5 linked regions of the Neurospora crassa OR74A genome follow. The protein of the gene in region 2 purifies or fractionates together with the protein of the main gene of each other region. This does not show direct contact. Links are inferred from orthologs where the notes say so. Each region holds a gene or a part of one and is shown on either strand. Other genes may lie near its edges. The genes, in order: NCU01614, NCU05645, NCU03625, NCU03778 and NCU00505.

Evidence for each region.
Region 1: the proteins of NCU05645 (region 2) and NCU01614 purify together in Saccharomyces cerevisiae (affinity purification with mass spectrometry; 3 studies listed by BioGRID). This does not show direct contact. The link is inferred for Neurospora crassa OR74A from reciprocal best matches to the Saccharomyces cerevisiae genes LUC7 and SMX3.
Region 3: the proteins of NCU05645 (region 2) and NCU03625 purify together in Saccharomyces cerevisiae (affinity purification with mass spectrometry, with the first as the bait; 4 studies listed by BioGRID). This does not show direct contact. The link is inferred for Neurospora crassa OR74A from reciprocal best matches to the Saccharomyces cerevisiae genes LUC7 and SMD3.
Region 4: the proteins of NCU05645 (region 2) and NCU03778 purify together in Saccharomyces cerevisiae (affinity purification with mass spectrometry, with the first as the bait; 3 studies listed by BioGRID). This does not show direct contact. The link is inferred for Neurospora crassa OR74A from reciprocal best matches to the Saccharomyces cerevisiae genes LUC7 and SMD2.
Region 5: the proteins of NCU05645 (region 2) and NCU00505 purify together in Saccharomyces cerevisiae (affinity purification with mass spectrometry; 3 studies listed by BioGRID). This does not show direct contact. The link is inferred for Neurospora crassa OR74A from reciprocal best matches to the Saccharomyces cerevisiae genes LUC7 and SMD1.

Annotation. Positions count from the first base shown.
Region 1 is NC_026502.1:2,950,614-2,956,526, reverse strand, and holds NCU01614 (hypothetical protein), read right to left. Parts: upstream 3,556-5,913; 5' UTR 3,245-3,555; coding exon 3,137-3,244; intron 2,935-3,136; coding exon 2,843-2,934; intron 2,733-2,842; coding exon 2,660-2,732; 3' UTR 1,876-2,659; downstream 1-1,875. Other genes in the region: pp-2 (protein arginine N-methyltransferase HSL7), read left to right, coding at 1-1,421, 1,528-1,710; NCU01615 (hypothetical protein), read right to left, coding at 3,981-5,913. UniProt on the Saccharomyces cerevisiae protein: Plays a role in pre-mRNA splicing as a core component of the spliceosomal U1, U2, U4 and U5 small nuclear ribonucleoproteins (snRNPs), the building blocks of the spliceosome.
Region 2 is NC_026506.1:1,218,379-1,223,934, reverse strand, and holds NCU05645 (U1 snRNP splicing complex subunit), read left to right. Parts: upstream 1-2,329; 5' UTR 2,330-2,459; coding exon 2,460-2,487; intron 2,488-2,559; coding exon 2,560-3,386; 3' UTR 3,387-3,660; downstream 3,661-5,556. Other genes in the region: gpit-1 (GPI transamidase component GPI16), read right to left, coding at 1-880, 941-1,341, 1,416-1,828; NCU05646 (hypothetical protein), read right to left, coding at 4,594-5,556. UniProt on the Saccharomyces cerevisiae protein: Component of the U1 snRNP particle, which recognizes and binds the 5'-splice site of pre-mRNA. Together with other non-snRNP factors, U1 snRNP forms the spliceosomal commitment complex, that targets pre-mRNA to the splicing pathway.
Region 3 is NC_026505.1:1,885,831-1,891,910, reverse strand, and holds NCU03625 (small nuclear ribonucleoprotein Sm D3), read left to right. Parts: upstream 1-2,302; 5' UTR 2,303-2,486; coding exon 2,487-2,534; intron 2,535-2,605; coding exon 2,606-2,666; intron 2,667-2,754; coding exon 2,755-2,884; intron 2,885-3,018; coding exon 3,019-3,130; 3' UTR 3,131-4,261; downstream 4,262-6,080. Other genes in the region: NCU03626 (hypothetical protein), read right to left, coding at 1-403, 456-624; NCU03624 (hypothetical protein), read right to left, coding at 4,296-6,080. UniProt on the Saccharomyces cerevisiae protein: Plays a role in pre-mRNA splicing as a core component of the spliceosomal U1, U2, U4 and U5 small nuclear ribonucleoproteins (snRNPs), the building blocks of the spliceosome. Also binds telomerase RNA and is required for its accumulation.
Region 4 is NC_026505.1:2,381,449-2,387,116, forward strand, and holds NCU03778 (small nuclear ribonucleoprotein Sm D2), read left to right. Parts: upstream 1-2,484; 5' UTR 2,485-2,696; coding exon 2,697-2,722; intron 2,723-2,821; coding exon 2,822-2,854; intron 2,855-3,002; coding exon 3,003-3,054; intron 3,055-3,131; coding exon 3,132-3,337; intron 3,338-3,422; coding exon 3,423-3,465; 3' UTR 3,466-3,954; downstream 3,955-5,668. Other genes in the region: NCU03777 (mitochondrial 3-hydroxyisobutyryl-CoA hydrolase), read right to left, coding at 132-1,535, 1,610-1,732; dak-1 (dihydroxyacetone kinase 1), read right to left, coding at 4,038-4,606, 4,664-5,668. UniProt on the Saccharomyces cerevisiae protein: Plays a role in pre-mRNA splicing as a core component of the spliceosomal U1, U2, U4 and U5 small nuclear ribonucleoproteins (snRNPs), the building blocks of the spliceosome.
Region 5 is NC_026501.1:8,192,534-8,197,945, forward strand, and holds NCU00505 (small nuclear ribonucleoprotein Sm D1), read left to right. Parts: upstream 1-1,973; 5' UTR 1,974-2,100; coding exon 2,101-2,114; intron 2,115-2,232; exon of another isoform or gene 2,233-2,333; coding exon 2,334-2,501; intron 2,502-2,579; coding exon 2,580-2,769; 3' UTR 2,770-3,319; downstream 3,320-5,412. Other genes in the region: pkr1 (ER membrane protein), read left to right, coding at 910-1,413; NCU00504 (hypothetical protein), read right to left, coding at 3,428-4,189. UniProt on the Saccharomyces cerevisiae protein: lays a role in pre-mRNA splicing as a core component of the spliceosomal U1, U2, U4 and U5 small nuclear ribonucleoproteins (snRNPs), the building blocks of the spliceosome. Also binds telomerase RNA and is required for its accumulation.

The sequences.
Region 1 (5,913 bases), on a different chromosome or scaffold from region 2:
AGCGGGTACCTGAAAAGGACCTGCAGGAGCGCTGGTTCTCCGAGCCGCTGCACTACCTGACCCTCGATAAGAAGATCTTCTCGCTGAACAAGGCCGGTCATCCTTCCCTTACCCGCCATCATCAGGACTTGATCAACCGTTATATGCGCCTCAAGAACCACCCGTGGCTAATCCTGATTAATGTCGGTCCGTCGACGGAAAGTCTCGTCGAGGCCCCCAGCAAGATGGAGGTTGACTTCCCTCCTTTGTCCGAGGCTAGCAAGGCAGTCAAGGAGAACCGCAAGCCGTATGCTCCTCCCTACAACGAGTACGTCGATTACATGAAGTACCTCGAGAGACACCAGCCCCCTTATTCGGCCATGGAAACTCCTTCGCTCGTCAGCTTCCAGGACTGGCTCCAGTCCCCTCTCCAGCCGCTCTCGGACAATCTCGAGTCGGCCACATACGAGGTCTTTGAGGGCGATCCGGTCAAGTACGATCAGTACGAAAAGGCCGTGGCCGAGGCCATGCTCGAATGGAAGAAGTACAACCGGCCCGTCTCCTCCGTGACGCCCGAGACGCCCGACGGCAAGGACCTGATCGTGGCCGTCGCCGGCGCCGGCCGCGGCCCCTTGGTTGCCCGCGTTCTCCGGGCCGCCGCATCCACCAACACTCCTATCCAGCTCTGGGCTCTGGAGAAGAACCAGAACGCCTACGTCTACCTCCTGCGCCGCAACAAGCGCGAGTGGAACAACTCGGTAACGGTGATCAAGACCGACATGCGCGAGTGGGAAGGTCCTCGCCTCGCAGCCAACCCGAACATCATCACCAAGCTCGACATTCTCGTGACTGAGCTCCTCGGTTCCTTCGGCGACAACGAGCTTTCCCCGGAATGCCTCGACGGCATTCAGCGGCACATTGCCCGCCCGCACGGCATCTCCATCCCCTACTCGTATACCGCCCATCTCTCCCCCATCGCGCACCCGCGCATCTTCGCCGACCTGTCCAACCGCGTCGTCAGCGACCCCAACGCCTTCGACATCCCCTGGGTGACACGTCTGTTCCAGCTCGCCTACGTTGCCCAAAAAGTGCCCAAGCACGGCCGGTTCCAGCAGGCCTGGGAGTTCGTGCACCCCGTCGAGGTGTCGCGGGCCGACGACTTTTCTGCCCAAAACGGGCGCGCGCGCAAGTATGTTACTCACGGCAGCGGCAGCATGTACGGCTCCAGCGGCATCAACGAGCATAATGCTCGGCACTGCCATTTGACGTTTGTCTGTCCCACGAGAGGTGTGATCCATGGTCTGGCGGGCTACTTCGAGAGCGTGCTGTACAAGCATCAGGAGGAGGGCAAGACGCCAGTAGAAATTAGTATCTTGCCAGATCAGATTGATCGGAAGAGCAAGGACATGATTTCCTGGTTCCCGATTTTCTTCCCTCTTAGGGTGAGTTTTTATCTCTTCTTCCTTCATTTCTTGTTTTTCTTGACTTTTCGCTCCTCGCTCCTGCTTTGGTGACGATTACTGACCCTGTTTCTTCGACGATACATAGCAACCCCTCTACTTCCCTCAGGACACCGAGCTAGAAGTCAGCATGTGGCGCCAGACCGACGACACCAGGGTGTGGTACGAGTGGATGGTTGAAGTGTATGCTTGGGTGGGTCCCAAGACCCGTATCAAGGTTGGCGCTTCTGAGATGCATAGCAGTCGTAAGGTTGCCTGCATTTTTGGTTAGAAGAGAGGAAATGTAAAAACGGAGGTAACTAGGTACCAGTAGGTGGTGGGCAAGGCTGGCTAGGTCGGGTGTTAGGAGTGTGTAAGTATGCAGCTGTAACAAACGCTGCGAGGAAAAGGTCAAAAGTCTTGTTTTAGCGAAAGAATAAAAGATTCGAAGTCAAATGGTGGATAGAATGTTCATAATTGGGAAGGCGCGCGATGTGTATGATGATGGTGACTGTCTTTGCCTGTAGTCGTGTGATGTATAGGCAAGTGGAAGTTGAGACTAACAGAAATTCACGCCGCTCGTTCTCTTTTTCTTTCAGTTGAAATAATACCTGGAAACCAGACGCCATGTCCGCATGTCTAACTCAACCCGCCACTTCCTTTTCTTTGCTCAGTACCTAGATGATGTGTGGTCTTGACAGATTTTTGTTTCTTTCTTTCCTGTTAAGCTGAGTATTGTTCCAACATCTTATTTTAGCCTTTATCTTCAAGGAAAGGCCAGATGGCACATGCTCCTTTGACGGTCTTGCGCAGGAGATGCAACGAAGGTCTCTACCAGACAGAGAGACGCTCGGTACCCATCCATCCATCCATCCACCGTTCACTCTCTCTTGAAGCAAATCCGCCCTTCCGTACCACTCTCCACACCATGCGCGCCCGATATCATCAAAGCTGTTGTCGCACCTTTCGTGAAGCGCACACTTTCATCATTGGGAAACGAGTTTTCGGCGAGCGGGTGCGTTGTGGTTTGTGCTTCGGTTCGGCTCGGTTTGGTTTGGTCGGTAGAGTAGATCCATCTCTTCTTCTTCTTCTTTTTTCCTCCCAGGGTATTATAGTCGGAACATCACGACCCTCCCTCCTCACACATTCCTCCTGTCTGTTCTGCAAATCGCGCCCTTCACCACCCTGCCCGCTAGTCTAGGCTACCCTTTCATTTCCTCCTCCTGGTGGCGAGAGAACTTTCACTCTTCCATCTTGACGTCGCCACTTGTTTCCGCCTCGTCGGCCTTCTTGATGTAGAGAACGTTGTTACACCTATTGTTGAAGTCCATAATGTCAGCATCCCGGCTAGTTGATACGAGATGGGGGATTGGGTCGTCCGTATGGAAAGCCGTAGCAGTGGGATGTATTCAGTATGGACGTACCTGATCAGAACCTGCCCCAAGGCGCCCGTAAACTTGCGGTTGATGTACTCCTTTGTGTCGCTGAGCTGAATGTTCATGTAGCTATCGATGCTCTGTTGTTCACATGCACACACGCATTTCGTCAGCCTCTCTCTCTTTGTTCTTCCTTCGTTGCTCCTTGGTCCTGCCTGCTGGTTTCCCCCTCCCCTCCCCTCCCCATCGCTTCCCACAGCTGTGTATGCCAAGACCAAAGTCCAGCGGCAAAGGGAAGGCTAGATTGGAAGAAAGATGCTGGATATGTATATATATACGTACAACAAGACGGCCAACATACTCCGTCTCTCCCCACTTCAAGCGGATCGTCACAAAGCTGTTGACGAGATCTTGAAGGAAGGGACGGGGGTTAACTGGGACAAAAGACATGTTGTCGGTTTCGGTTCGAAGGGTTGGTTCTTGGTCAAGTGCGTGGCGCCTTGTGTGTGTATTCACAGGCTTGCTGTTGTTGTTGTTGTTGTTGTCGTCGATGGGACGGCTCGAAAGTTGGATTCGCGATTCGGCTTGGTGCTAATGGAATTTTGTATTTGTCGGTTTTCTTAGATGTGTAAGAGTGGGTTGTGGTCGGGTGGACGCAACAAGGTCGAGGTTATGGTTATGAAAAGTTGGGAAGAGAGATGGGATTGGCGTTGATGCTATGATGGAAGAAGCTCCAACTGGGACTGTGCCTCCAATGCTGGACCTTTGCGGCGTTGGAGTAGCGCGACGATGGAAGTTCCTCTGTTACGAGGGACATGTGGAGCCCTAACGCGATAGCTGATTGGACGTGGCAATAAGCCTGTCTGATTAGTAGATTACAGGGTTAGGGTTGGTGGCTAGAGGATACTTGATGTTGTTGACAGCGACGATGATGAGCATCACCAAGACCTTTATGGCGATCCTTTTGCTTATCATTACTCAGGTACATAGCTTAGTGTATTCTTTCACTTCTTCACTCAAGTTTACCTGGTGACATCTCTCCCTGATTATTTCCGATGCCCACTTACACCTTCAGGTCAAGACCCTCGAAGACGCCGATGTTTTGAAACGAAATGGAAGGGGACTGTTCAGGACCTGACAGGAAGTCATTTTGAATTAATAAAGTCCCATACTGGGTGAAGATATTTTACTCAATCTCCTCAATCCTAGGTCTACCGCCGAACATCTCAACACCGCCACTACTTCCACCACTATCATCACCACCATGGGAAACCGACCTCTCCGGGTCGACAACCAACCCAGCCAGCTTCGTTAACCCACCACCACCGAACCCTCCTCCTCTTGCCTGGCTCAACGACACTTCATCCACCAAGCTATTCGTCTTCCAATTCTCCAAGCTCTCCAGCACATCCCGACAATACTCCCTGACCAACCCATCCTCGTCCGTCTGCTCCACATACCCCAAAATCGTCCTCAGCTGCTCCTGCGTCTCACTCCCAAACGCAATCCCCAACACCCTCCCCTCGTGCTTCGCCTCGTCCATGGCCTTGATAAAGCTCATAATCAGCCTCACCGCCGCCCTCCTGAGTATCCCCTTCTCCAGCTGCCGCTCTACCTGCACAACATTAATGCACAGATCCACGCTCGCCATCGTCAACACCGCCGCGACACCAACAATATTCGTCTCGATGCAATTCGCCAGAATTGACAACGCAGAGGCACGGATCCTTACATCCTCTTCACCCGTTTTGGAAGTACCAGACGACCACCCTTCTACAATCGCCTCCAAGATATCAAGCCTAGCCTGCTCCTCAGCAGAAATCGGATCCGCCATATCCGGCACGCTGCCGTCCCACGCGTCTTCGGCTTCTTTATGCTTCTGTTCCCGCGCCTTAGCCTCGCGCGCTTGGCGCGCCATGGTCTTGGGCCGATGCCCCCGGCGCGATGCCAGGCTGATCAGGGCTTCGCATGTCATCTTGGCTAGGTCGCCGGTGAAGGTCTGGCCCAGTCGGTCGACGACTTGGAGTAGGGCCTCGCCGAAGCGGAGGCGGGCGTCGACGGTCGCCAGGGCGGATTCGCGCGGGTCCAGGTAGCGGTCGATCAGGTCGGTGAGGACGGCGCGCGGGTGGGCGTTGGCTAGTTGGGTGTAGAGCTTGATGCAGCGGAGGTGGATGTAATCTTCTTCCGAAGAGTTTGGCTCGCAGAGAAGGGTGGCGAGCAGGACGAGGATGCCGGGGATGTCGAGAATGGGGGATTGGGAGGTGATGAGGTTCGAGATGAGGTTCAGACCTTCGGAGCGGACGGGCGGGGGGGAATCGGGTTGGGTGATGTAGGAGATGGCGAGGGAGTAGGTCTTGCGGTCTTCAATTTGGCGGTCTGTGGGACCACCGGTTGTTGTGGTGGTCGAGGATGAGTCGGCGGCTTCCAGGGCATCGATTTCGTCGCGGTAGCGCAGGAGGAGGGTGAGGTTGGAAGCTGTTTTGGCGTTGTCGTTGTCGCCTGTTTTGGAGAGGGCTTCAAGGGAGGATTCAATGACACGAAGGACATCAGGGTCGACACGCTTCTTTTGGAAGCCGGGGACGGTGATGACCATGTTGAGGAGACTGAGGGCTACTCTGATCACTTCGTCCTCTCCGGCCTCATCCGCGGTATCTTTGTTGGCTTCCGAGAGCACCTGGCTGACTAGCTCGAGGATGTGTTTGGGTTGCCCGGCGAGTTTCTCGGGGAACTTTTCCATCATGGCCAGGAGAAGCTTGACCTCGGTGAACTGGGCTATCGGGTCTTTATCCTCCTCTTCATCTTTGATAATCTGAATCCCGCTCTTTTTCTGGCCTCGGGCTGACTTGAGCCACCGCCCGAAGAGATCGAGGAATGCTGAGGAGACATCGGCCTCGGAAAAAGTTGAACCAATCAATTCCAGCAGTTTGGGTATCTTTTGATCGATTTCTGGAAGTGAAAGGCCGATGTATTGCTCCCCTGGCTTTTGCAGAGGACGGTTGGTATCGACAATTTGAATCTCTCCTTGTTCGGTTTGCTTGTACACCCACTCGGGTTTCTTCTTGTCAAAGCCACCCACGTAACCTAAATTGTGGACGAGCGCTAAAAGGACAGGAGCAGAA
Region 2 (5,556 bases):
ATGATGACATTGTACGGCATGCTGAAGTCGGGCGTCGGGAGGTTGCAAAGCAATGTGGTCGTTCTCAGATTATATGCCGCAAACCGCGAATTTCTTCCATTCCCACCGCTCTTGTTGTCCCTGTTCAAGATGGTAATGACAGCGGCGGCCACATCAAACCCGCGATTCGCGTCCGGAGGGTACTCGGTATACCGCAGGATGGACTTCTCAAAGTCGTAGGTGAGAAAAACGGTAGAAGCGGGCGGGACGGTCATGCGGACTTCGAGTTGGGTTCCGCGTGCGCGGTCGACGGCGGGGCGGTAGTAGACTTCCTGGATCAGGGAATCGGCCTTGCCGGGCTGTCCGTCGACGCGGGCCGAGATGGTGTGCAAGTAGATGCGCATGAACCAGGGAAGGGATTCCATGTAGATGAACTCGACTTCCTGGTCGGGGCTGGGGTTGCGCAGAATGGTCTGGACGCCGCCGCGCTCTTGGCCGTGGCCGGTGAAACTGCGTTCGGCGTAGAGGAGGGGCGTTTCGGGCTTGACGACGTGTTCGATTACTACTGATCCGTCCTCGGCCTCGGGGGCAGGGAGGAAGATCTCGAAGTCGTTCTCGGCGGGGAAGTCAAAGCAGCGTGAAGTCTGATCGGGGTTCTTCTTCTCAACAGCGCCCTCGGAGGCGAAGACAATACGCGAATCGGGAACTTGGATGCAGACAGGAGACACGTTAGGGTCGGTCAGAGGGCAGGTTCCCTTGATAGGCTTGCCGAAGATTTGGGATAGCGACCAGTCCTGGTTGGCGGCTGAATCGGTGGGGAAGCAAGTATCGTGGGCGTGGTACGGCTTCGAGGTATTGCACTTCATCTCGTGGGCCGGAGGGGGCCTGGGAATCGGGTTATCTAAGCCGGTTTCGTCAGTTGTAGTCTTTAACCACGTCGTTCAATCATTAGTACACATACCCCTGGGTCTCTTGGATCGATCAATGTCCAATACCATGTCAATGCTTTGCTCGATCTGCAACACACACTCGCCATCCTCCGGGCACACGGGCCGGATATCGATCGCCATTGTCTGCCATGAGGAGTCGAAGAGCTTATGTCCGTCAAGCAACGACGCAATACCAGCCTTGCCCTTGCATGGAAGAAGCTTAAGAAAGGGTGTCAAGTTCTCGGTACAGACAACTTCGTGGGGTAGCACGCCGTAAAGTAGGTGCATGTTCGTCGCGTTCGCGTCGATGTGGTTGCCCTCGGGCTGGAAGGACATGACGGGACGGGTAGTTCGGGTGCTATCGATGAAGTTGAGAGAAGCACAGAAGAGGCCAGACAGCGCATTGGTGAGCGTCAGCCATTTACGGTCGGCCCTACATGGTGTCTGTAGTTAGTCTCTCGCCCAAGTCATGATCCGCGGTGTTGTGTGGGTGGTGGTGAAACATACTCCTCGTCTGTATCTGCCTCCAGCCACGCCCACATCTCAACACCTGTTCCACCCTCGCGCGCACCATTCCACGGCCTTGCGCCCCAGCTCTCGGCATCCCATCTTCCCAGACTAAACCTCAAGTGTAACTCGCGCGTGCCGGCATGCTCGAGAATCTGGCCCAGCGACCTGGGGAAGAAGCGGAAATTGTGCGCCTCGAAGGCAGAGAGCGATGTGTTGGAGCGGAAGTTGAAGCTGGCGAGCAGAGTCGACAATGGTAGCGGGCGCAATATTAGCTGTTCGTGGTAGTCGGATCGGGAGTTGGAAATGGAATCGGCAGGGGAGGAGGAGGCATTGGCGATCGCAGTGTAGGGCGAGAAGCAAAGAAGAGAAAGTAAGGAGAGTAAGAAAGAAGAAGGAAAGGATGGGCGCATTGTATTAACTGGAGTGAACGCTGTCTATTGCCGTTGTCTATCCATTTGCTTGATCTGTACGTCCACCGCAAAGTACCAAAAGCAATTTCCGGAGACAATGGCAAGACAGAAGTAGAAGTGGAAGACACGACGGCAAAGATGGTGACAGTTCACACCTAACTTTTAACTTTTGTTGGTGTTGCGTTGGGTGCCCTGGCTGCCGTCGGAGGGGATCGCAACTTGGGCACCCCCCCCCATTGCTGATGGGAGGTGCTGGAAGAGTGCCTGCCGCGCCCTGGCATAGCGGGACAAGACCCAGAAGGGAATTGTGGTTGATGACAGCACATTTCCAGTGGATGAACCGGGATTATAGCGGCAACAGGGGAATGGAGGGTATGTAAAGTGGGTCCACTTCCCCGGTTTCAGCGATCAGGTTCCATCCAGCAAGCAGCCTTGCATGCGCGGCTGACTTTTGCGACTGCATTCGACCTCCAAAATCTTGGGAATTTCTCCCAAACAAAACAAAACGTCAGCAACCGCGAAAGCGCTTTACCATCACCAGCCCTCGCAATTTCCGTCAAACCAAAACCTAGCGACGCCTATCGAACCCAAAACATTTTCATAGTAATAATTATAAACAACAAGACCAATCATGGCGGCCGAACAAAGAAAGCTGCTCGGTAAGTCGCATCCCCATACTTCCTCCCACCCCCCTACAAACTCCCACTAACTTCTTCACCCCAACCATGCAGAGCAGCTGATGGGCGGCGGCATCTCCTCCCGCTCCGCCCAACTCTCCCTCACCGACCCCAAAGTCTGCCGCTCCTACCTCGTCGGCACCTGCCCGCACGACCTCTTCACCAACACCAAGCAAGACCTCGGCCCGTGCTCGCGCGTGCACTCGGAAGCCCTCAAGGCCGAGTACGAAGCCCTGCCTGAACAAGAAAAGAAGAAGTACGGTTTCGACTACGACTACATGCGCGACCTGCAAAAGTACATTGACGAGTGCAACCGACGGATCGACGCGGCACAGCGACGCCTCGAAAAGACGCCCGACGAGATCCGGCAGACAAACGTGTTGCTCAAGGCCATCTCGGACTTGGGCACGACCATTGCGACGGGTCTGTTGGAGGTGGAGATCTTGGGAGAGCTGGGCGAAGTGGGGAGGGCGTATGACGAGCTGTTCAGGGTGCGCCAGGCGCAAGCGGCGAAGCAGGAGAAGGAGAGAGAGCTGAAGGCGCTGTCGGATACGAGTGGCCCGTCAGGCCATCAGAAGCTGCAGGTGTGCGACGTGTGCGGGGCGTACCTGTCCCGGTTGGATAATGACCGCAGACTGGCGGATCACTTCTTTGGCAAGATGCATTTGGGATATGCGCAGATGCGGAAGACGTATGATGCATTCCCGAAGGAGATGCGTGGACGGCAGAGGCCCATGGGAATGGGCGGTGGTGGTGATGATGATATGGGTGGTGTGCCAACGGGTCCTGGTGGACGACATGATGATTGGGGTAGAGGCCGTGGACCCAGGAGTGGCGGTGGCGGTTATCGTGGGCGTGGTCCTAGACGTGGTGGGTGGTAGGGTGCTTGAGGCGTCGATGTTAAGGGAAGAAACGGGGAAAGGAGATGGATACGATCCAAGATCTGGCGGAATCATGTGCATTGAAAGGGCGTTGGGGCGTTTTACACTATTCGAGCCTGGGATTTGAAGAAGTCGGAGCTTGTCCCTTTATGGTCTTTATTTTTGCAGCCCGCGTAGAGAAAAGAAGCTATTAGTTATATCATGAGAGCGCAACACACAGACAGGTATAGAATCGACGTTACCAGCAATTACACTTCAATCAATGCGATATAACTCGGGTTACCCTTTACATTGTGCATGATCAATTGCGGTTCCGGCTAGCAATCTCAATTCAGATTCTTGTGGTATCAATTCGTCTGTTCGCTTTTACAAAATCGCTGTTGTCTAGACATTTTTCGTATCACATGAAAGAAACACCTCGCTTCCATCCTCTACGGCCCAAAAAAAATGCCTGTGGTTTCCAGGACCCCTCTACAAGTCGCCCTCCCGAGGAAAAATACACCGAGTCGTCACCAACGGCAAGTTACTCCTCTGGTGTCGTATTATTCTCATCGGAATGCATGTTGGGACCCTTCCACCGACGCATTTGGGTGATATCGGATTCTGTTACCCATTTTATAATGTTTTCCGGGTTGTTATAATGGCGATAGGATTGTTCATCTTCAACGTGCTCGCTTTTCATATATTGAACATCCAGCAATGCTCTGTTACTTGCTGTAAGTGGCAAAACCTGGGATGCTTTGTGGCTCCCGGGTGTTTCTATTGCCCTCTCTGCGATTTTCTGTTGCATTTCCTCGAGGTCCCTTTGATATTGCTCGAGGCGTCTTTGTACCCCGACCGCCTTGGACGGTTCGAGATGTTGGAGACCGGCTGGTAACTTGTCTAACGCTGGAGTGGCCACCGGCGTTTTAAGGGTTTGGCGGGCAGTGACTATCTGATCTGAAGTTAGAGTGGCATCAACCTTTGGTGGTTCAAGACCTAGGTGGCCAGCCACTACTTGGGTTGGAACTGAGAGGAAACCCTTCACCCTCGCCAGTTTCGTCGACTCATGCTCCGCTGCCGGCTCTTTATTGACTGTGTCTCGCGAATCAGATTCATGGTGACCTTTTGGGCGCGTCGTTGACATTAACGGTGGCTTGATACGAGGAGGGTCCTGAGAATTGGAACGAACGGTTGAAGCCAAGGTAGGCCTCGCATAGGAAGGGTTCTAGTTTCCTTTTGACTTCGCCTGCGCGTTCGCCGCCTCCTTTGCCTGTGCCGCTTTTTTCGAGATACTTTCTTCCACCTCATCATCCCATCTGCCCACAGCAGGCGAGAGGGGCAAGGAAGCAAAAGATAGGGGGGCGCTTGTGCTGACTTGCGGTGCGGTGGCTTTGCTGCCGGGGAGTGCAGGAAACTCGTCGGGGGTCAACTTCGGTTTGTCGGCTTTTGGTGCACCAGGCCCAGGCCCGGAGCGTTCAGCACGAGGGGCCGCTGGGCCATCCGCCTTCCAGTCCCTGCCGCGGTTTCGGTTATTGTCACGCTGATAGAAACGCTGACCAGTCTCGTTCTCCGGGTCCGGCTCGAAAAGGGTACGACCTCCATACCCATCACCTCCCCCACGACCTCTTCCGCCACCGAATCCTCCTCTTCCACCACGACGTCCGCCACGGTAACCGTTTGCCTGCTCATTGCCGTCAGCCGGATCTTGCGCCCACGATGGTGTGTTTGCAACCCCCCTAACACCCCTGTAGCCTCTTCGGTCCTCCTCTCTCATGCGCTCCTCCTTGCCCTCGTCCCAAGAGCCACCCTCCTTAGCGCCCATGGCGCGCATCTTGCGCTCACGGTTCTTTTCCCGCTCCTCATCCATCTTCTTGCGGTCTTCCTCGGCAGCCTTCCTCTTAGCCGCTTGCTCGGCACGACGTTTCCTATCCTCTTCCATGCCCTTAGCGTAGGCGGCAGCATGCTCATTTTCGTCACGCTGGGCTTGTTCGAACCGCTTAGTTTTCTCAGCGGCCATAATACGCATCTTCTCCATCTTGGCTGCCAGTTCGTCTTCAGTAAGTTTGGTGCGTGGATTCGCCCCGGAACCAATTCTAGCGGCCGATGAGACACTTGCAGTGTTACGGCCAGCTTCCTTATCCCTGGCTTCTTTCTCGCGAAATTCTTTAGGGGCGGAGGGAGGTGTGCT
Region 3 (6,080 bases), on a different chromosome or scaffold from region 2:
TCTTGCACGGTCGGCAAGGGCTCGCTTTCACGGTAGCCGTCGTCTTCTGACGGGTTGTCAAAAGCATCATCACCCGAGACTGAGGTGGCGTTGGTGGTAGTGCCTTGATGTTGTTCCTCCTCATCTGCGACCGAAAACTCTCCAATGGGCTCTGACTCTGCGATCTCCGCGAAACTGCGTTCTGGATCCTCCATGACCTCGGAGCTCTCTGGCATGATCGCAACGGGCTCTTCGGGGAGTTTCCAAGGGCTGACCGCAACTGCCGGGTGGTATTCCTTCTCCTGGGGTATCTCTATACCTCCCATATACCCATCCGCATATCCTCCGGCATACCCTCCGGCATATTCCCCCGCATAACCTCCCATGTAGTAACCCTCTGTGTATTCATAATCTCCCCAAGTACCTGCAGGAAAAATCAGCTGGGGTACAACAAGGAAGGATTTTCAAGGGCGTACCGTCAGCCAATTTCCTGGCTCGATAGAAGTAGGTTCCATCTTCACTTGACACCCAATCTGACCACACCTGCACAGGCTCGACCACCACTTTCTTTTCCCGCTTCCATGGGAACCACTTGAAGCCCTTCGCCGGGTGCTCGGTAGTATAGGCCCGATGTCTTCCTGGCATTATGGCGAAGGCAAGACAATACCTTGAGACCTGACCAAGAGAGAAACACGGAAGGAGTGGGCCTCCGGTTGACTAAAGCAGGTACGACGCCCTCGTGTAGGAAATCCAGGGCCAATACGACCTTCAAGTGTGATCTCGGTTTGACAGGACCACGTAGTCCAGGCAGTCTGCGTTCTTTTTCTTGAGGTGAAGCAAACAGCGAATGGAATTCTCGATTCACTAAAAAAGGATCTTGTGACAAAACGAACCGATCCCACGCTGGGAGACGGACGGGCATAAGTAGGAGACGGGAAGCCCACATCACCAGGGGTAAAAGTCTGCACGACGGCCAAGTCAACTCCTCAATTACCGGAACTGATGGAGTGACCAGACCAGAGATCTTCCACTCGGAACTGAGATGTCATGTAGCGTCCAGCGCTAGAAGTTGGCAGACACCTCCTGGAGAGTGGTGAGACGTCCAATCAGGGCAAAGACGAGGACATGATGGTGGGAGGTGGGATGCAACCGGAGCTGCCGTCGAGCTTGTCAAAGCTTGCTAGTACCGCACCATCACCACACGATCCAGCTCACACAGCGAGATAACAAAGAAGGTGGAGAGAAAAGACCGAGAACTCGGAGCAACCAAGACGGAGGAGCAGACGCACACAGATCATGGTCTCTCGATGCACATGCATGCAGCCTATAACAGCCAGTGCTATGGAAGATCAGTCCACGCCAAACCCACCTGCCGCAGCTCGAGGTTGAGACGGTTAGTTGCCTCGCCCATTCAGCGGTGCCGGGGCGGTTCGTGGGGTTTGATCATAGGGTTTGGGCATCAAGCTGACAACACAGCAATTGGCCGGCGGCCCACTTGGCCAGCCCGTCACTGCGTTTTGAAAATGGGACAAGGCCAGATGGCCCCTTACTCGCTGGACTACGTAGCCGTGCAAGCCGTGGTCGTGGCCGACAGGGAGCGAGGATGGAGGCATGTATGTAGTAGCATGATGCAGAAGGACCCGGGTACGGCATCTCTCGGGGCGCGAGGAAGTCTGGAGAACGTCGAGGGGCGTTTTCTGTCCTGTATCACGTCCCGTCCTTGGCTGATAGGCAATGGCTAGACGAGGCCGTCGAGAATGTGGGAGTTGCTCGTCAACGGTTGGCTGGTGGTATGGGGCAAAGCGGGAGGGGAGTGACTGTCCAATATTCGGGGACAAGGGTGAATTGAGAACCGAAGGACCTCACATAATTCAGCGTATAGAACATCGAAGAAGGCCTCATTGAGAAAAAGGTTGGGGATGCTGTGTTCAATGCGTTGGACAATCCCATCCCCGTGACGGCCGCCATCATGCGACGACTCGGAACATGAGCCAGGAAAGTTGAGCGATAACGGCGTTCGGGGTGCTGAACCAGACAGTTCATACTTTGATTGAGTACAAGCGTATGACAGCAGGCCGGTAAATTCCACTTACTGCCAATGGGTTGAAGAAAGAAGGTTTATGTCAGTGACGATGACGAGGTTTTGGATGACCGAAGACCACCAGTTCACTGAATGTGGGGACAGCGCAGAAGAGGCGTGTGGGGAAGCCTCCACACTTCCTTGTAGTGTAGGACCTCAATGCGCGGTACGTACCGTGAGATCTGGCAGCTGTCTTGCAGCTGACAAGATCAACTAAGCTCTCCGACGAAATTCCCAGCAGCACCGGGCTGACAGGGCTGCCGCGTTCACGTCAAAGGCAACTGATCGCATCCACTATCATCGCGAACCAAGTCGCCTGTACTTACGGCATACCATCTAGGTAATCTCTAAAACCAACACCAAGAAAGATCAGTTCGCCCCTCCACATCGCCAACCAACCTCACCACGTAATAACACAGCCGCCAACATGACTTCCACAATTGGTATCCCCATCAAGCTCCTCAATGAGGCTCAGGTAAGTAAACACCATTGCTATGCACAGACTGTAGTGCTGCCAAAAGCTAACCAACCACTCCTGTCCCACAGGGCCATATCGTCACTCTCGAGATCACCTCCGGCCAGACCTACCGTGGCAAGCTTATCGAAGGTACTGCTAACCCCCATGAACTCTTCATTCCCATTCACTCCTCTAAACTGGCCAGCCATGCTAACCAATGCGCTCCCCCGCAAAACAGCCGAGGACAACATGAACGTCCAACTCAAGGACATCACCGTCACAGCCCGCGACGGGCGCGTCAGCCATCTCGAACAAGTCTACATCCGCGGCAGTCATGTGCGATTCTTTATTGTGCCGGATATGTTGAGGTACGTTCAAACCAGGCCACCACCAACTCATCCGTTGCGATTCTTCTCCCCAGTTGCCCCCTACCTACCCAATAAGTCGGATAGGACCCAAGCTAATCATTTCCTCCTCCTCTTTTTTTTGTGTTCCCATACAGAAACGCCCCCATGTTCCGCTCCCGCAACGTCCGCGGCCGCGGTGTCGGTCTCGCCCGCGGTCGTGCGACAGTCAGTAGGGCGCGCGCCGGTGGTCGTGGCGGCGCCAGATAGAAGACAGCGAGCGCCGCCTGTCGTCAGACTCATCGACCAAGACCAGACCCAGACCGAGAATCATTGAAAATTTCACAACGGAATGCAATATTGGGGCACAATAATCGGCATATTATGGCTCCTTTTTTTTTTCCGCGCGCAACGACAACCGCTATTTTGATATTTTAGGCGTTTTGGGTGGGGGGAACCAATAAAGCAAACTTTGATCTTCTTTCTACCGAAAATGGGGGGCAGCGAGTTGGATGGAAAGAGAAAAGTGTGGGGGGCAAGCTTTGGATGCCCAGAGAAGGAGGAACAGGAGGGATAGGGAGGAGGGTGGCTCAAGGCCGGCCAGAGATGAGAAGGGACTGGAGTGAGTGCTGGGGCTGGGATTGGAGGGTTGAGAGCCTCGATGAGGAGTGATATGGAGGACGCCAGCTGGCCCCGCTCATCCATCTGCTGCCAAATGATGATCATGGGAGAAGCGTGGCGTATCCAGGGGTTTTCACGCTCCGCCAGCTGGACGATAATGGTCGGTCGATGCAACAGCCGCTACCCGTCCGTCAGCACGCAACGAAAACCTGGCTTCATCACGGTTAGCAGCCAGAGCGAACCAGGTGTTCAGCCAGCCTCAGGTCTCCCCCCAGTTGAGTCCTTGGCCAAGGAGCGAGCACATACAGCATGGATCGAATCGCACCGAAAGCGAAACTCCTACTAGCCCTGGTTCTGATATAGACAGGGTACGTATTCAACGTCTTTGTCTATTATGTTGTTGTACACACAACCCATTCCATCTTCAGCCTACGCTGACAGTTTTTGATATCTACCACAAAAGTCCGATGCCCCCTTTTTACTCCCACTTCGGCTTGCTTTTTTAATGGTACATAAGAGTGTAGCCCTGGTTGATCTGTTGCGTCCGCCGGTTCTAACCCGCCTGTCCCTATATGTGAGGCTCGCATAAGACGAGCTTGCAACAATGCTCTGAGTGAGAGTGAATCGTGTAGACTAAATATACAACTGGCTGTTTAAGGGTTGAGTTGGAGAGGGCATATTGTCAAAACACCCACCTAAGGGACTAACAGGCAGGGCGAGAGGGCTGTGGAAAATAATAAGCACAAGAAGTCCGAAACTGACCAAGTTCGGTTTGCAGAATGTCCTTCTAAACATCTGTTGCAACCCATCATTTCTACTTCAGCCTCGCAAGCGCTTCCTCGGCCCGCTTGAGGACACTCTTGGCCTCCTTCAGCTCCTCAATCTCAACCGCCACATCCTCGGGAACTTCAGGAGAAACGCTATCCAGCACCTCGGCAATGCTGGCTTCGGTTGCGCGAATAGCCTTGCGTCCTTCCTCACGAACCTCGCCCTCCCAGAAATCTCTCGCCCTCTCCCACCTTTTCTGCAAGCCCCTCAAACTCAAAACAATACCCAAGGCGGCGACGGCTCCACACTCATATATTCCGAATCCAGAGAGCCAGGACATGCCGCCGAGTGCCGTGGTGGCTCCCGCTAATGTTGATGACTGTAGCACGAGCTTCTGCGCCAGTGCTTGCAGGGCCGGAACAGTTTCCGCTAGTAGATAGTTTCTTGTGAAGGGGATATGCGCAGGCCAATTTCCCTTGGTCTCTGATTCCGTAGTAGCAGCAGTAGTAGCAACACTGCTCTCGCCCTCGGGGAACGACGGTGGAACCGCCGGGCCGGAGTACGTCACCGGCTTTTCTCCGCCCGCAGTAGTAATTCCAGCCTCCTGGAGCCTGCCGGCCAAAAAGATCAAGCGCTTCTCAGCCTCGGGCAAGAATCGTTGGGCAATCATCTCAGACGACAGCATGCCCACGTCATCCACCCGCCAAAACAGCTTCCACCAGTTCATCTGCCTCCACGCTTCGCCGACGAACGCAATCTCTAACTGCTGCTGCAGCTCCTCGTGCGCATCCTTGGCCCAGTCCGCCAGCGCCTGGTTCAGGCGCGCAATCGTGTGCGGCGACGGGCCCCCTTCTACCGAGACCTTCATGTCGCGGTACTCGGCCGCCTGGAGCGCCGCGCCGGCGTTGTGCAGAATGGACTCAATCAGCTTGCGCACGGGCGCCTTGGTGGCCCCTTCCTGCTCAGCTTGCGACAGCACGTTGGATCGCAGCCACTTGTTGATGTGTCCCACGCCGGCCTCGGTCCAGAGGGCTTCGTACTTCATGGCGTTGCTAGCGCTCTCACGGAAGAGGTCGAGGCCCTGTGCACCAGCCTCGACGCTAGTGATGACCAGGGACGGGCATGCGGCCTTGTCTTCGGCGCTGATCCTCTTGAAGTTGGCGACGGCCGTGATGGTGTCTTGGCTTTCTGGGCTGATGGGCAGTGACAGGATGGAGGCGGCGCTCAGGACGCCGTCGGCTACCAGCACGGCCATGTGCACGGGCGTGACGATGGGCGCCGAGTGGCCGGCTGTGGTGGCTGCTGTGTCGACGGCGGGCACGAGGATAGCCTCGTCAAAGGTGTGTGGCTGCTCGCCCGCCTGCGCGACGGTTGCCTGGTCGGCCTCCATGACTATCATCTCGAGGTTGGCATCGTTGTAGATGTGCGACGGCACGGTGATTTCGGGGATCACATGTTCGCTCGCGGCAAGCGACAGTGGCGTGGCTTGCTCCTCGGGAGGGCCGATGTGTACGATGAGCGGCTTGGAGGGGTCGTGGGCCTTGAGTTGCGCTTCCCAGTTTTGGGCGGATTTCAGCGGATCGGCGAGTGCCAGGCGGAGCAGCTCCCTGGCAGTGTGTTGGGGCTTGTCGCCGGTGGTGAGGCCGAGGAATGCGACTCGTATCGATTCATGGCCGGGATCTTGGCTAAGGTTGCGTAGGGCGAGCTGGAGGCGCGGAAGATTGACGTGGTTGGGTGCGAGGGTTTGTAAGTCGCGGAGAGCGCTCTCAAGGTCTTTGCGGGGATCAATTGGTTCTGGTTCGGCCGGGGCGGCATCGGCGGCGTCGGAGGG
Region 4 (5,668 bases), on a different chromosome or scaffold from region 2:
AAAAGCGGAGAATGGCAACTGAGACAACATGGTAGCCTGGCTGGATGGGGCAATCATCATCATTATCAACACGGGGTGGGTTATCGTACAACGCGCATTTCTCCGACCACTCCTTAGCATCTTTGTCCATTCTACTCTTTCTTCCATTGGACATGCTCAGTACCCTTGCTCCGCACGGCCATACGATCGAGGACGTCAGAAACGGCTTCCCGAACACCTTGCTTGCCACGCCTGGTCTCGACGAAGTGGTCGATGAGCTTTTCCCGGGTGAAGTTGCCCTTCTCTATCGCCTCCTTGACGTCGTAATCGTTGGGCAGGCCAAACTTGTTGTAGGGATACTGCATGTAGGATCTGTCGTTGAGCAGCTCCAACACAGGGACCTCTGGGTCGTTCCTAAAGTAGTCCTCGGAGATGTTGGCTCCAGGGGGGATCTCGTCTAGCGAAGCCGGCTTCCACTTGGCAGGTCCGTTCGCCCCCTTGTCAATGAGCAATGCGGTGACGCCCTCATTGAAGTCGTGAGACTTCATGAACTTGGCGGCCATCTGGTGTTCGCGCTTGAACGTATGAGCGATGCCCCAAGACTTGCCGAGGCGCATCTGGCGCAACGTAACATGGAGAGAAGTAGGGGAGCGCTGGGTAAGCTCCTCCAGGGTGTTCTTGGCCCAGCTCTGAACGCCTCCCTTGGCGCCTTCAGCGGCTTCCTCCTTAAGGGCGGCAATAATCTCGTCGATCTTGTCGTACTTGAAGCAACGGTCGATAGCAAGGCGAATCTTACCGCCAATTTCGATATTCTCGTCGTAGGGGACACCGGTGGAGAACTCTTCGATGGTGTCGTTGATGACGCTAAGGCGCTGTTCTATGGTCCAGTAGTCCCGGGGGGTAAGCTCGGCAAGACGGGATTCCAGGGCAGGCAGACTGCTCGAGTGAAGGTAGTGGGTGGCAATGCCGGCGTAGTAGACCTGGACACCCTTCAGCAGGGCGCTGGTGAGACCGAGGTAGGGGCCGACCTGGCCAGGCATCCTGGGGAGGAAGAAAGAGGCGCCGACGTCGGGGAAGAAGCCAATCTTGGTCTCGGGCATGGCGAAGACAGTGCGCTCGGTCGCAATTCTGAAGGGGGCGTGGATGCTGAGACCAACACCACCTCCCATGGTAATGCCGTCGAGGAAAGCCACGTAAGGCCTGGTGTAGGTGGAAATCAGGTGGTTGAGCTTGTATTCGAGGCCGAAATAGTCGACGGATTTCTTGACGCCCTCGGGGCCCTCGGCGTTCTGCTTGGCCAGCGCGGCAACATCACCACCGGCGCAGAAGGCCTTCTCTCCGGAGCCCTTGATGACGATGACGTTGGCCATATCGGAGCGTTCCCATTCGAGGAGACGGGGCGCGATCTTGCGGATCATGGAGCCATTGAGGGCGTTGTACTTGGCTGGGCGGTTGAGCTCGACGGAGCGGAGATTATATAGACTGTTGAAGAGGACATCCTCGGGCTCGTCACCCTCGACGGGCTTGAACAACTCGGCGGCGGCTTGGGTCGAGATCTGGGAGGAGGGGGCGGCGAGCGTGTTAGCTGTGTCCGTGTCCATGGCTTTTGTCTTCCCAAGGAGCGTCTTACTGGGGCCTGCTGGCCCAGGACTTTGGCTCTGAGCGGCATCGCGGTGAAGCTTGGTCGGCAGCTGCGAGAAGCAACAGCAGAAGCCAAGCCGGCGCGGCTGGCAATGGACTTGGAGACCAACATCGATGTACACTTCGGTAATTGGCTGGCTGGCTGGCTTTGTCTAGAATAGGAATGGAATAACAAGACCCAGGGTCAATATGGAAGAAAAATACTAAGTCCAAAATCCACCCCGAGGCTGTTTAGCACCGTTGTTGCATCATAGACCGGCCAAGGGACTCGGGCACTTTTTTTCGGGACTCGTTTTCCTGGGCTGGGAAAGGGAAAACGGGAGAACAATCACCAATGATCTGAATGCCGCGTGGATGCAGGAACCGTGATAAGTGATAGCGAGAGTATCTGCAAATCCACTTTTTGCTGGAATTCAACGCGAAATGGAGCTCCAGCTTCAATTGATTTTCAAGGGCACCGCGCCTGGCAATCCCCGGGGCGGGGTTAGGTACGGGGGAGCTAATACATAGTGTAGAGGTAGCTGTGGAACCTGCCGAATCCCCGCCGCTATCGCTAGAAGCTGGAATATCCTCCGGCCGATGATACCTCTATCCATTCAAACTTGTCATTTTCCAGAAGCGACGCTCGGGCCCTCCGCTCACTGGAAACCCGATGTCCCGGCTGTCCGGGGGAGCATGTCGGGTTCGGCGGGGCTGGCAGCACCTGTCACCGGAGCGGTCCTCAGCCTTTCGCATTGGGATCCACCGTGAGCTTGTCATCCAATCGCCAAACTTTGAAGACGGTTCTGTTCCCAGAAAAGCTTGGCGCGTGTGCTGTAGCTGCTCCACGCTCCGAGTCGCCGCCGCGCCTGGCCCTCCGCTGCTGCAACATTTCCCGTCGTGGATTGAAGATAGCGATAGCATCCATTACAGCAACTATTGTCCAGGCTTCTACCGTACACCACCAACCCATACCACGCGAAGCAACCACTCGACGTCAACAACCATTTTTGATACAAAGACAAAACTACAACTCATTTGCCCCTCCTACATTTCAGTACCACTCCAATTCAACTCTAGACCAAAACACCATCGTCATGGCTTCAGCGGATGCAAAGATTCAGTCAGTAGCTATCCCACTCTCCAGCATCAACCCATGTGCGCGGGCAGCCCATGGACGCTTCAAGGAAACCAACTTGACTAACAACTGTCTACTATACAGGGAGCTTCTCACGAAGCCGCGCAATGAGCTTACGTACGTTATATCCTCTTGTCAACATCACCTCCCTCTGTTACCATCGTCATCTCGCCCGCCCTGCTGCTCCCAGCTCCTCCTCTTTGCGACCCAAGACCACGACGCCCGCCCAGCCAAATCACAAAGCTAACCAACTCGTCTGATACAGTGAATACGAAGTTTCTCTCCTCGAAGAGCACGAGTTCTCCGCCGGTCCTCTGGTACATATGCCCCATAAGCCTTGATCTACCACCCCTTCGACACGGAGCAGCGACTAATATGACACCCTTTTTGGCAGTCCATCCTCCAGACCGCCGTCCGCAGCCACTCCCAAGTCCTCATTTCCGTCCGCAATGGGCGCAAGATCCTTGCGCGCGTCAAGGCTTTCGATCGCCACATGAACATGGTGCTGGAGAACGTCAAGGAGATGTGGACCGAGACGCCCCGACTGGCCAATGGCAAGAAGGGCAAGCCCGTAAACAAGGACAGGTTTATCAGCAAGATGTTTGTGCACTTCCTTTTCATCTGTTGTTTCTCTCGCCCAGGAGAAGCGAAGATCAATGGCTGACATGTTTCACTTTCCTGGCAGGTTCCTGAGAGGCGACTCCGTCATCCTTGTCCTCCTCAGCTAGTTCACGAATAGCACGGCAAAATGTATAGGTTGGAGGTTTATTTCACTTGCACGGCGAAGACACGCGCCAGCACAACTTAGGGTTAATGGCTCGAATGGAGTGGGGATGAGCCCGGGAAGGGTACCTATTGTTGGTCGACTGAATCGAGAGACATGCGGACTATATCACCTTACTACTACTCAACCGCTCGATCGACCATGATGACGACACAACCACGAAAGCAATTCAAAACGCCCCGTGAAAAGGCGCCGCGCAGGAACGAGAGGAAAGAAGAGAAACCCAAGCAGATTTTCAGGGGCTATTAGGAAGGTCATACAAAGGGAAAACTAGTGTGAGCTCGGCGTTCAAACGTGTATTTGGTTTTGTTTAACTTTTTATCTTTCATTTCTGGTAACTTGATCGAACAGAATACCCAGACCGTGTTTAGGTTTTCGCAGACGCGGTCATGTTTTCTCGTGCTTTTTAACGACAAGCAACGGGATGATTTGTATTGGTGTTCCTGGTACGTCATTGAAATGGTGGTGCAAACTAACTACCTAGGGGTATATCGAGATCACATACAGCACCAATTCTTACGGCAATTCCGCCTCTCTTGTAACCTCCTCCCATCCATCATCCGATCCCTTGGCCTGCTTAGCACTGGAATCATCAGCCTTTTCAATTCCAGCCAGTCCAAGGAAGAACTTGGCCAATCCCCAAGCGCCCGGATCCGGCACCTGCTCGAATCCGGACCCGCCAATGTAGACGGTGCGGCCCAACTTGGCCTTCATACCCTTGGTGCCCTCAGCTCCCTGCTTGGCAGCCTCGGCCGCCTTCTTCACATCACCGGTCTTTTCGAGCGCATCGACAAAGGGATAGAGGGCATCAACCAGGGTGCGGTCACCGGGACGAGCGGGCGTGTACTTGGACAGGGCCTCACAGCTCAGTTTGAGGGCTGCGGCCCAGGCATTTTCATCAGCAGCTTTCTTGTCCGACTCCCCTCCACCGACAGTGTGGAGAGAGGCGACCAGAGCGTTGAGGAAGATGCCGTAGAGAGCACCCGAGGTACCGTCCATGGTTTGCTCGACCACGGTGACGATCTTGGCGAGGTCAATGGCTGCATCGCCTGTTAGGGGGTTGGAGTCGAGATGCGACAAGATTGCTGGCATTCTGTTAGCTATCAGGGGGAAAAGGGGTTGTTGTTGCTAGGGGGACATACCCTCAGCGCCGCGCTTCAGACCGATACCGCAATCACCATCACCCACCATGGTGTCGTACTTGGTCACATCCGGTTCGGCGGCGATGACAGCCTTCAGCCCGGCAACCAGCTGCTTCTGCACCTCCTGGGGCTCATACGTTAGACCACAAGGCCTCACCTCCTCCTCGGACTTGACCTCATTCTCCCGGGTACTCTTGTTTTCCCGCTGCTCCTCCCAAGTCAGCTTGGAGATGGGTGCTGTCCAACCCGTTGCCTCAGATGGGTAATCCAGCAAGTCAATCATGCCCGGTCCGCCAATGTCCGTGTTAACCACATTCAACAGCGAGATACTAAATCCCAACCCATTCAAGCTCGTCATATACGTGCCGCTCAGGATCCTCACGGGCTTGATCCCATACGGTTGTTCCGCCAACTGCGTCACCACCTCGGTGACAATCCCGCCCATCTCCAACGGGCTGACACCACCGAGGTTGTTCACCAACAGCACCACCTCATTCGAATTTACGTTCACAAACGCCCTGTCCTCATCGTTCCGATCCAGCAACTGCTTCAGCATCTTCCCCACCAACTCCGGCAACCCAATCCCCTTCTCCCTACTGCTCCCTTGCTCATTATGAATCCCCATGCCAATCTCCACCTCGCCCTCCTTCAACACCTTGAACTCGGCGCCCTCCGCCTCCGCCCTTCTCCCCGGAACATGCACATGCTCCAGACTGGCGCCGACACTGACGATATTCTCCGCCGCCAAATTGGCCACCTTTGTCACCTCCTTCAGACTCCGTCCCTGCGCAGCCAACGCTCCCGCAATCTTTTGGACCAACACCGTCCCCGCAATGCCTCTTCTGCCTACTTTCCCAGCTTTAGCCCGTCCAACACCGACATCATCCCCGACAACCACCATCTCCACGTTCACCCCCGCGGCTTTGGCTTTTTCTACGGCTAGGCCAAAGTTGAGCACGTCACCGGTGTAGTTCATGACTACCACCAGGACCCCGCCCGCGTCCT
Region 5 (5,412 bases), on a different chromosome or scaffold from region 2:
AGTCCGCGATAGCTTCGCGGGTTACGTACAGTTAGACCCAGCTTTTTCTGTAAGTAAGTGGAGCTGAAAGCTGAACTCAATTCCCGGTCTAGACCCACTCCTTCAGCCTGAAAAGGCGGTTACATATGTACCTAGATTACCCCACCATTATCCATCGATCTTCCCCGCCGTCCAGTCATCACGTCACGAACCTCTGCCATAAACTGGAATTCAAGAATCACCGGGCAGACTCACGACATTGCCAGACCGATCTTCAACATCCACCACAAGACCTTTGCTTTCCCGGTCGTCTTCTTCTGTCCAAGGCAGAGTTTTACTCAACTGTCATTTACTCGAGTGCTGCACACCCAGCTGTCTATCTCACTTTACGCACGCCGTTTACGCACGCCCAATCCTGTGGCATCGATTGACCGTATCGCACATACTTTCATCTGATCTAAACAAGATCACCCTCTGCCGACAATTTCGTGCGTCGTCCCACCGGTGGCAGCCTGCAACGAACGGCACGCTTTGGAGCCAGCAAAGGCCAAATTATACAACTAGAATAGGTCAGTAGTTGAAGAGCAACCGTGTCTTGTGATCTGGTATCCATGGCCCTGTCCTCTCGGCGGGTGACCAGCTCTTCGGCCCTACGGGCTTTGTCTGGTTGGGCTGCACATCCTCATCCGTCCCCTGCCTTCTGTCCCTCGTCATTTATAAAGGTTGTGAGGCCGTGACTAACCCTCTCTTCGACTGTAGTCATCCACTACGAACCATTGACTTTACTGCGAGTTTGTCTCTTCGTTTGTCCGCATCGCTTCCACGGCGCATCGTCCTGAACACGAATCGACAACAAGAATTTTCCTCTACACGACATACCTTCACGGTCAAACTTTTCAACGCCGACATAGCGCCAGCCTAATCTTCCCAATGACATCCTTCGTTACAAATCTCTGGGAGTCGATCTTCACTCCGGGGCCGACTCCCACCCTCCTTATCGCGACAAATGTCACATTTGCCGCTCTGCAAATTGTCCTGGCGTGCCTCCTCTTTGCGACATGGAGTATCCACTTCGTAATTCTCTCGGCTCTCTGCGGTGGACTCTGGGGATCCATCAACTGGTTCGCGGCGGAACTGAAGGTGCACCAAATCCAAGAAGAGGAAAAGGCGAGAAGAGCCAAAGAAGCAGCGCCAACTCCAGTCACATCGGAAGACAGCGAAACAGAAGTAGAGGCAGCTACATCGACAGCTAGCCTCACGAGGCAGGAGTCAATTGCAGAGGCGGTCAGCCATGAGGTTGAGCCTATCCAGCAGATTGGAGAACTGAAGCACAGAGTGGTTGAGGAGACACCGAGCCTGGGCACTAAGAGCGGCGTCAGCACGGAAGATGAGTGGGAGAAGGTTTCGGAGAACGAGAACGAAAAGGACAAGTGAATATCCTGGCGATTGAGCGGGGACCGACCACACGCAGAACGTACAAGCGAATGTCGTGTTAGCGAAGTTACCATGGCATCCTGTAAATAGTGTCATGGTCCGCTTTCGTGTTGGAGTTGAGCGACGATGGCATTTACACATCCACCCTGTTTTCGTTCTTCATTGGATGAAAGGAGAGGCAGTTGAAGGCTGTAAGCCCTATGTTCGTTTCATAGTCCTTATCCTGCCATGAGGCATCATGATCTGTGCAACTACAGCTATAGCTTCAGAGACAAAGTCATAGTAAACAACACCTTGTTGTTCGGCGTGGCAGTTAGCCAGCCCATCTTCGTGTACCCCAATTATCTGGTTGCTTCAACTCAGCACATGAACAGATCATGTGCAGGGCAGGCAATTTATGGATAGCTTGAAACCCATGACTTCCAGGGTTAGGGGCTTTCAAGCCGCCGTTTGCCTGTTCAGCTCGGCTCACGTGATTGAGCACGGGCTCTATCTTGGCGCGTAGCGACGGCAGGCTATCTGCTCCACCCTGACGCTTGGATGGTTGTGCAAGCGTCCAAGGAAGCTCGACAAGCCTTCTCCCGTCGCGACTGTTGATTGACAAAGTAACAAGCTGGTAATCGAGACCTTGTCACCACCAATTCCATACAACACATATTCGATTACGCGTTGTCCAAATAAGTCAAGATGAAGCTGGTCAGGTAAGATTTCTCCTTGCTTTCTGATACTTCGCTACATGTACCCGATACCCCATCCCACCCGACTTCATTCCTATTCTCTTGCACGACGCATGCTGAGCTTTGAGTCCTCGCCTTCAAGGCTGCCAGCCCGTGTTCGCGCGCGTCCATGCTGCTCTACTAGAAAAAGAACACCAAGGGCACCAGGCTGACGAAGTGGAATCCGTTACTTCAACACTGCAGATTTTTGATGAAATGCGCCAACGAGACGGTGACGATTGAGTTGAAGAACGGCACAATTGTACACGGCACTATCGCCTCGGTCACACCCCGCATGGACACTGCGCTTCGCAACGTCAAGATGACCCCCAAGGGCCAGGACGCTGTGGCTCTAGATGCCATGAACATTAGGTAAATCAACCCTTTCAACTAAGGGGGAGTGGCCCTTTTCAGTTTTCGAGGGCATCACTAACTATTGAAACCCTACAGGGGCTCGACCATCCGTTACTTCATACTCCCCGATTCTTTGCCGCTCGATACATTGCTAGTTGATGATTCCGTGAAGCCCAAGAACAAGGCGAGAAAGGAAGCGGACCGCAGCGCCGGCGGCAGAGGTGGCCGTGGTGGCCGTGGCAGAGGAAGGGGAATGGGTCGCGGCCGCGGTCGTGGCCGTGGCTAAGCGGATCTCGTTTCTTTGGGATCGGCCACGGCGTACGTCTCCCTGGACGACAGAAACGTGCGAATTAGATTTTTTTTCAAAGACGATACGATGCTATACTACGGTTAATGGTGGATTTTTTTCGGTTTTTTATGCCCCCTTCGGTCGACCGGCTTGACCGTCTTGGTAGGGAAGATCAAGGCCGGCCCGAAATAACGTCCGGTGGCGACGACACGACAAAATCGACGATGAGTGCGCTTCAGAAAATCGAGGAGCATATCCCAGATCTTCACTTGAGCGACACTCGAGATTCACCTCATTCGCATCGAGTGTTACACACATAAACACCACTCCCCCTCATCGGATCGGAGCAGAGGGCAAGCATTGGGATTTCGTTGCGGCGTTCTGGACAGGATAAAATCACTTTGCTAGCGGGAAGGGAGAGAGAGAAAGGCGCGCCCAACCGCCACCGGAATGAACTATTTTATGTATCACAAAACAGATAGACGGCGATATATGCCTACTGGAGAAGGCGGCACAATCAGCAACTCTCTATACCAAATTTCCCCCAGAATTTTCGAGCCTTGTACGTGACTGACCATCGTCCTTCCCCCTCTTCCACCCTCTTCAACAGCTTCCTCCCCATCCTCAACTCATCACCAGCATCTCATCCCTCCATTCACCTCCAAACCCTCACAATCTGCAACTTCTCCCAACCCGCCTGCCTCCCACTAGTCCCCACCGTCTCTGCCTTCCACTTCCCTTCACCACCCATCACCCTGATCCTCCCTTTGACCTCCTCCGGCTTATTCTGCGCACAAAGCAGAATATACGCCACCCCCCTCTCGCTCAACACCCCCGGCAAGGCCTCAATCAGTCTATCCGTCGTCTCCATCCCATCCCTCCCTCCAGCATACGTCAACTCCAAGAGATGTGAGTCTTCCTCAAACGTCGTTTTCTCCTTCAGTGCCTGCAACCCTGTCGGTGGCGGCGCAGGCAAGTCAGGCGTAGGGACGTAGGGCGGGTTGAAGACTAGGACATCTACCGATCCGGGACGAAAGGGGGAGACGAGGTCACCTTGGGTTGCTGATGTCCAAAAACCGGAGGTGGAAGTATTTTCGGAAACGGCCTTGGAGACGGTAAGGTTGGTGGCGGCACAGGCGAAGGGGGACACGTCGATGGCGGTTGACAGGACATGCGGGCTGCCAAAGATGGTGGAGGCGTGCGCGGTTAGGAAGGCGATCACTACGCCGGAGCCGGGGCCGACTTCTAGAATCAGAGGCGCTGGGGAAGGGGAGAAGGGACTAGGGGAGGCAAAGCGGGATGAGAGAAAGGCGGTTTCGGAGGAGGACGAGAGCGTGTCGAGCAGGAGGAAGGAGTCCTCGGCTGGTTCGTAGACGCGCTGGTAAGGCACATGGGAGGTGTCGGGGGTTGGGAGCATGATGGCGGTTGGGTGATTGGTTTTTGGGTGGTTGTTGCCGTTGCACTATCTGTGTTTAATTCGGTATAAGAGGTGAGTGGTACCCTGTTCGAGGCCGACGAATTAAATCTCAAGGGACAAGAGGTGGACCAATGAACTGTTGAGTACTTGGCGACAGCGACGTTGAGGATCGCTTCCAGTTTTGTCCGATTTGGGTTGTTTGAACAAGAAATGACAAGGCTCGAAATTTTATGTTCATTTTCGTTTCGGATAAACACTCAGCCTTGGCACGTGATAAGGGTTGTATGCGTGAGAGCAAAAGATAGAAGGATGACCGAGTTAGTCACTCTCTCTCTTCACAAAGCACCATCTAGGCGAGCAGCATCCTCACTTCAGACAGCGTCTACAGGTAGGTGATACCCGCTACCTAGCATCGACGCATGAAAACAGCGCCATTCGAAGTAGCTACCTCCTTACTATTAACCCAGATGCCCAACAAACAACACATCCCAAGCCCGCCTACCTTCGCTACCTCTCAAGCTCCTCAAGTTTCCCGCTCTCACTTACAACATTATCCTTCTTCATCCAAACCCTCCTCCTCCAATCATACTCCCACAACTTATTTTCTCTGCACGACTTACACGGGACGGGCGCGTTATTACTCCGATGAGGTGGTACCGCACCCGATAGGGAGCTGGGGGCGCTCGGAACCTGCATAGTAGGATCATGGTATGTTCTCCGTTTGTGGAAAATGTGTCCGCAGAGGAAGGTAATGGGGGCTTCGCGAGGGGGGGTGGCGTATGTCGACATCTTGCTGCTGGCGATTGGAAATGGGGAGTCAACGCTGAAGGCGGGAGAAAATATTGCTGAACTCCAGCCCCTAGTCGTTCTGGTACTTTTTTGCATGGGTAGTATACCGAGAAGGGAAGACTTGTTCGGCTCTATGTGGGATTTATACGGAAACTAAAGCTGTGAACATGTTTCCGTGGAATCGATGGGAATGAAGGAGCAGACTCCTAGTGATGCAATACTATCTATGGAAGCGAGGAGTGATCAACATCATATCCATCAAGCAGCCCCCCTCCCCAATATCGAAGAAATTTGTAAGTTGGGATGACGTTAAAACTCCCAAAAATAGTAGACTTCATGTTTGAACGATGGCAACAGGACTGTGCCTCAAGATATTTCTACAGACCAAACTGAGCCATTGGACTCCTCTTTCAAGCGGCCTTGGTCACCTTACC